2 linked regions of the Saccharomyces cerevisiae S288C genome follow. Changing the gene in region 1 together with any one later gene gives a genetic interaction. Each region holds a gene or a part of one and is shown on either strand. Other genes may lie near its edges.

Region 1 (3,963 bases):
TCCTCAATAAAAGATACATTATCTTGGAGAGTAGTGTTAAGAAACTCCAGTGCGGGAACTTTAGTAATATCATATAAGGGATCGTCATCGAAAAAAACGCATTCTTCCCAGGTGTAATTATTGTTTTTGTTTCCTATAATACTGTTATTACTATTCAATCCATTAATCCTCGTAGACTTATTTTTGGCCTTAAAAGCGTATACATCATTTTTTTGTAACTGCACAAGCAGGTGATTTAGGTCATTCAACACATACTCGGTTTTTTTATTATAGCAAATTGTCACTCCATATAAAAGATTAGAAATGTATCTAAGAGAAAAATCATTTTCGAAATTTTGAATTTCATCACATGTTTTTGGTATGGAAATATTTACGATGTCTTTTTTCTTAACGGTGGATGAAGATATGTTTCCAGTGGAGTTGCTTTTGTTTGAATAATAATTGTTACTTTCCTTTACAATGGAATTTCCCAACGCAGAAAGCAACCACACTGTTGTGAGGCCCTTATATTTCTTGTCATCTTTAAAGTTCAACGAAAGAGGTGCCATTGCAGAATATTTGTAATATTAATCTATATATAGCAAATGCTTTAGAGTTGCTGAGGCTAAAAAGAAATTATAGAACAACTATAAAATATTAAGTCCGGATACACTGCTTCCTTTATACCATGCCCTTCCCTTTATAGTGTAAAAACGCGTAATCTTAATCAATCTGATATATTGGTTTGCCGCCGAAGTCAAGTTCTCCTGCTAAAACGAGACAAAAAGAACACGTGAAAGAAGAAAGAAAAACGTTACGATAAAATAAGTTTTATACCTACTTTCATATCTACCAAAGGAACACAATGAATTGCCGTATGTTATTCTTGAAGTAAGAGTCAAGTATTATTTATGGACTAGTATTCACGTTACTAGTACATTATCACATGCGGTGTAAGAAGATGATATAAAAATTGAGGGACAGTAATCAAATTCAACGGAAGTCAAAAAGGAAGGATTGGTAATGTATAATATCGAAAAATGTGCGAAATAGTTGATAATTGTTGGAGTTTTATAGTTGTTAAAGGCTATAATATTACGTATTTAGAATATACTAGAATTTCTCTATGAGAAGAACCCACGAAGAGATCGATATTCTCGATATAATGGCATTATTGTTATCCTTTTCATCTTATGTGACTGTCATTCATCATCCTACTAAATTATCAATCCTTGCAATTAGCTTCTATTACACCTGATGACTGTTTTTCAATCTTTATGTGATCTTTTTACACCCAATGTGATAAAGTACTAGTAACATGAATACTACTAAACAGATGATACTTTAGAGTTTTCATTCCAACACTCAATTGTAAAAATAAGACAATATTATGATTTTTTGGCTGTATAACCACATCTATTTAGTAGCAGGGTGACATGTTACTCCCACACAATACTTCGCGCAAGTGGTTTAGTGGTAAAATCCAACGTTGCCATCGTTGGGCCCCCGGTTCGATTCCGGGCTTGCGCAATTTTTCCCCCTCGCCCTGAAGGGCGTAACGTTAACGCTTCCGGTAATTTGCGAATAATTTTTCTTCCCATTTCCCCTTTCTTTTCCCTTTAACATGTGGAGCATAGCAGGCTCTTTACTTTTTTACGCATTCAGACAGTCGGGAGGTCAATTGGTGGTGCCGGTTGTGGGAAAGAGGTAATTTTATTTCCTTTATTGGACATGATTTCAATAGTCACATTGGGGCAGGAAAAAGAAAAGGGAGAAAAAAATTCAGTAAAGAAAAAAAATAAGAAAAAGAGAAAAGAAACAAGAGAGGGCTACAGATTTCTAAATATCCTTTTGCTGCACATTTTTTATTTACCTGCTAATTGGTCTTAGTAATACAGAGTCGTGCATTTCCACTTTATAAGAAAAAAAAAAGGGATAACAGCACCAGCACTTGATTGAAAACTAGAAAGTTCACGTTTTATAAGTCCTTTCCGTTCTCTTTATCAGTTATAATAAAAGAGCCAAGACAAAACGTGGCAGGGAAGCTTTTCCAAGGAAAAGAGGGTTGTAATATTAAACAAAAACCGTAATCAAGCAAAATAAGACCCCGTGGTTTTTTATCATAGGAAAAGAGTTCTCTGTTGTCACTCTACCATATTTGACAAGAAAAAGGAAACAAAAGTATAGAAAAAAAAAACCTAAAAAATAATGGTCTTGATAAATGGCATAAAGTATGCCTGTGAGAGGTGCATAAGAGGCCATAGAGTAACAACATGCAATCATACAGATCAACCGCTTATGATGATCAAACCCAAAGGTAGACCTTCCACTACATGCGACTATTGTAAACAACTTCGAAAAAACAAGAATGCAAATCCTGAAGGTGTTTGCACGTGTGGCCGGCTAGAGAAGAAAAAACTGGCACAGAAAGCCAAAGAAGAAGCAAGAGCTAAAGCCAAAGAAAAACAAAGAAAACAGTGTACCTGCGGGACTGATGAGGTTTGCAAATATCATGCTCAAAAGAGACATCTAAGAAAGTCCCCTTCAAGTTCTCAAAAGAAAGGAAGATCCATTTCTCGTTCTCAACCAATGTTTGAAAGGGTATTGTCTTCTACTTCACTTGACAGCAATATGTTATCCGGCCACGGAGCACTATCAGATACCTCTAGCATACTGACGAGCACATTTTTAGACAGTGAGCCGGGTGTTGGTAAAATTTCAAAAGATTACCATCATGTCCCTTCATTGGCCTCCATTTCATCCTTACAATCCTCGCAATCGTTAGATCAAAATTTCAGTATACCACAAAGCCCGCCGTTATCTTCAATGTCATTTAATTTTCTCACGGGAAATATCAATGAAACCAACCAAAATCACAGTAATCATCAGCATTCAAAATCAGGCAATAACTGGCAAGATAGTTCGGTAAGCTTGCCAGCGAAAGCTGATTCACGTCTTAACATGATGGATAAAAACAACTCTGTGGGTCTTGACCTATTAGGCCATTCAAAACGAATATCGCCGATATCAAACTCTCGTGTGGGCGAAGTTAGCGTTCCGCTAGAAGAATATATTCCTTCTGACATTGATGGGGTTGGAAGAGTTACTGATAAAAGCTCTTTGGTCTACGATTGGCCATTTGATGAAAGTATTGAGAGAAATTTCAGTACAACCGCAACCGCTGCAACTGGTGAAAGTAAGTTCGACATTAACGACAACTGTAATAGAATTAATAGCAAAAGTTATAGTAAGACTAATAGTATGAATGGAAACGGTATGAACAATAGCAATAATAATAATATCAACAGTAATGGCAACGACAAGAACAATAACAACTCTTCTAGACAAGAACATCAAGGAAATGGACTATTTGACATGTTTACAGATTCATCGTCGATTTCAACGCTTTCCCGTGCAAACTTATTATTGCAAGAAAAAATTGGTTCGCAAGAAAACTCTGTCAAACAAGAAAACTATTCGAAAAATCCTCAACTTCGTCATCAATTAACTTCCAGAAGTAGATCATTTATTCATCATCCGGCAAACGAGTATTTGAAGAATACTTTTGGAAATTCACATAGTAATGACATCGGAAAGGGAGTTGAAGTGCTATCTTTGACACCGAGTTTTATGGATATTCCCGAAAAAGAAAGAGAAACGGAAAGATCGCCATCATCCAATTACATTACTGACAGACCTTTCACTCGAAAACCTAGATCTTCTAGCATTGACGTAAACCATAGGTATCCACCTATGGCACCAACAACCGTAGCGACATCTCCCGGTGCATTGAACAATGCCGTAGCAAGCAATCTCGACGATCAACTGAGTTTAACATCACTAAACTCTCAGCCATCATCGATAGCAAATATGATGATGGACCCTTCAAACCTAGCTGAGCAAAGTTCTATTCATTCAGTTCCTCAGTCAATAAACTCTCCGAGAATGCCTAAAACTGGAAGTCGCCAAGACAAGAACATTCAC
Region 2 (3,463 bases), on another chromosome or scaffold:
AGTATCGGGGAAGAAAGTATTAAAAGTAATAATCAAGACTGGCAGGATTGGAGAGTCTGTGACTTGGAAATAGACATGATAACTGATTTCAAAAATCAAACATCAAAAGAAGAGGAAAGTGATTTGATTACTTCACAATACTTAGGCCATGGGATAATAAGGCTATTCAAGCTAAGCAATGCCAATAATACTCTTAATGAGAAGGAGATTTTGACTATCCCGGGAGATGATACTATGATATGTATCCTGTTTGTTCCAACTTATTTTACCGTTCACGATTTATTGCATTTTTATATTGGTGATGATATTGTTAATAAGCAAGTTTCAAACTTTCGTATATTACGAAATCAGCAGAAGGGAATGGGTTTTAATTTCACGGTCTTAATTAAATTCAGGAATGCACTTGATGCGAAAAATTTCAAGGAAGAGTTCAATGGCAAAAGTTTCAGCAGGATGGATCCCGAAACATGCCATGTGATCTCTGTAAAAGAAATAGTTTTTCAAAAAAAGCTCTTCCAAAGACCAGCCGCTAACGAGGACTTCCCCTATCTGCTTACTGATCCATTCACTGTTAAGAAAAAAAAGGAACTGGTAAAAGTCGAACTCCCCACATGTCCCGTTTGCCTTGAAAGAATGGATTCAGAAACTACTGGATTAGTAACGATCCCGTGCCAGCACACTTTTCATTGCCAATGCTTAAATAAGTGGAAGAATTCAAGGTGTCCAGTGTGTCGACATTCAAGTCTGCGGCTAAGCAGGGAATCATTATTGAAACAGGCAGGTGATTCCGCACATTGTGCAACATGTGGTTCCACTGATAATCTATGGATTTGCTTGATCTGCGGTAATGTTGGATGCGGTCGTTACAATTCCAAACACGCAATCAAGCATTATGAAGAAACTTTACATTGTTTTGCGATGGATATACGGACACAAAGAGTGTGGGATTATGCGGGTGATAATTATGTCCATCGCCTAGTTCAAAATGAAGTTGATGGGAAGTTAGTAGAGGTCGGCGGCTCCGGTGACGATGACAACAATGATATAGGCAACTCCGATGAACTACAAAATGTTGTTTACGGGAACAGGAGCAAAAACGGTGAGAAATCGAACTCTAATAAAAAAGATGGCGAGCTGGCGGCAAATTTTTTAAGGCATAGGGAGTATCATCTAGAATATGTGCAAGTCCTAATATCTCAATTAGAGTCTCAAAGAGAATATTATGAACTGAAATTACAAGAAAAAGATCAAACTGCGTCTGATTCTTCGAATGTTGAAAGTTTGAAGAAGTCTATGGAAGATTTGAAACTCCAATTTCAGGTCACTCAAAAGGAGTGGCAGAAAAGGGAAATGGCCCAGAAATCTAAGCTTGAGGAAGATATGTTAGTAATCGAAGGACTACAAGCGAACCTAGATCACTTATCAAAAAAACAAGAGCAGTTAGAGCGAGAAAACAAAGCGTTAGAAGAGTCTAAACAAGATTTGGAAGAGCAAGTCAAGGACCTAATGTTTTATCTAGATTCTCAAGAAAAATTCAAAGACGCTGATGAGAGTGTAAAAGAAGGTACCATCCTAATACAGCAACCACATGGGGCAGCACAGGCATCCAAAAGCAAGAAGAAGCGCAACAAAAATAAAAAAGCAGGGAAATGATTATCTTCATCACCGCCATACCATTCTTGCATTCTAAATTTATTATATCTCTGTGTACGGCAGGCTCATCGATTTTTCTTTTCTTTTTTTTTTTTTTTTTTTTTTGCCTGCGAAAATTTTCCAGTCGAATAGTAAGTAATAGGATGAGTTTTATAAAGTTATGATTGCGAACGGTATTATTCGCTAAACTCGTATCTGTTTATAATCACGTACCCTCTTATTTACTTACTTTTTCTTGAATATATCTAAGAAAGATTCATACTCTTTTTTCTACGTACTTTGCCAGCGCAGGATAAACGAACCTACCCATTCAAACTGAGCCTCATATATTCACTTAGGATTACAAAATGCCAACAAATTCCATCAAATTATTAGCACCAGATGTCCACCGAGGTTTAGCTGAACTTGTTGCCAAAAGGCTAGGTCTACAGTTAACAAGCAGCAAACTAAAGAGAGATCCAACCGGTGAGGTTTCCTTTTCTATTGGAGAATCTGTTAGGGACCAAGATATCTTTATCATCACGCAAATTGGCTCTGGTGTCGTGAACGATCGTGTTCTAGAACTACTGATCATGATCAATGCTTCGAAGACTGCGTCTGCAAGAAGAATCACTGCTATTATTCCAAATTTCCCATATGCAAGACAAGATAGAAAGGATAAGTCTCGTGCTCCTATTACCGCTAAATTGATGGCCGATATGTTAACAACAGCCGGGTGTGATCATGTTATTACTATGGATTTGCATGCTTCCCAAATTCAAGGGTTCTTCGACGTCCCAGTAGATAATTTATATGCAGAACCAAGCGTAGTTAGGTATATCAAGGAAAATGTCAACTATATGGATTCAATAATAATTTCGCCAGATGCTGGTGGGGCAAAACGTGCTGCCACTTTGGCTGATCGTTTGGATCTAAATTTTGCATTGATCCATAAGGAAAGAGCTCGTGCCAATGAGGTTTCTCGTATGGTTCTTGTTGGGGATGTTACTGATAAGATTTGTATCATTGTTGATGATATGGCCGATACTTGTGGTACTTTAGCTAAGGCTGCTGAAATTCTTTTGGAGAATAGAGCTAAATCTGTTATTGCTATTGTCACGCACGGTGTTTTATCAGGCAGAGCTATTGAAAATATTAACAATTCTAAACTGGATAGAGTTGTTTGCACAAATACTGTTCCATTTGAAGAAAAAATCAAGAAGTGCCCAAAACTGGCAGTCATTGACATCAGTAGTGTGCTGGCTGAAAGTATTCGTCGTTTGCATAATGGTGAAAGTATTTCTTATTTATTTAAGAATTATCCCTTATAAGTGACTGAAGAATAAATGGGGAGAAAAAAAATACTACAAAAATGATGAGTGATTTTCAGAATTTGATAAATACCTACGTATCTGATGTGTATACTTCTCTTCCCACAAATTGCAATGTAATGCCACTATTGCAATGTGCTCCAGTTTTTTTTTTCTGTGAGGATACATGATTCCTCTTACATAGTGGGAATAGAAGAAAACTTTATTCATGCATTTTACCCAAAAGTTTCTCTTGTTTAATATCCATTCATATCCTCCAGCTGAGATTTATGCCAAATCGTTACATTTTCCAAAATAGAGCCATCGGGAACAGTAATTACATCATTTTCATCACATATTATAATGACCGTCCCTTTCAGAGTTATATTACGACCAAAAAACACATTTCCCATCACAGTTAAATGCTCTAATTCCAGAATATTAGGAATATCTGGTACTCCTATCTTAAAAGTCTCATAAGTTGCAAACTCATCGCCCAAGTCGATTGAAGGTAATAATCC

The links. A genetic interaction does not mean that the proteins touch.
Region 2: of HAA1 (region 1) and PRS3, changing one enhances a phenotype caused by changing the other (phenotypic enhancement), as found in Saccharomyces cerevisiae (one study listed by BioGRID).

The regions. Positions count from the first base shown.
Region 1 is NC_001148.4:570,831-574,793, forward strand, and holds the start of HAA1 (Haa1p), read left to right. Parts: upstream 1-2,187; coding exon 2,188-3,963. Other genes in the region: REC8 (Rec8p), read right to left, coding at 1-548. UniProt on the Saccharomyces cerevisiae protein: Regulates the transcription of a set of genes, many of which encode membrane proteins. Among the genes regulated are YGR138C and YRO2. Does not seem to be dependent on copper.
Region 2 is NC_001140.6:80,154-83,616, reverse strand, and holds PRS3 (ribose phosphate diphosphokinase subunit PRS3), read left to right. Parts: upstream 1-2,000; coding exon 2,001-2,963; downstream 2,964-3,463. Other genes in the region: ETP1 (Etp1p), read left to right, coding at 1-1,653; YHL012W (UTP--glucose-1-phosphate uridylyltransferase), read right to left, coding at 3,200-3,463. UniProt on the Saccharomyces cerevisiae protein: 5-phosphoribose 1-diphosphate synthase involved in nucleotide, histidine, and tryptophan biosynthesis. Active in heteromultimeric complexes with other 5-phosphoribose 1-diphosphate synthases (PRS2, PRS3, PRS4 and PRS5).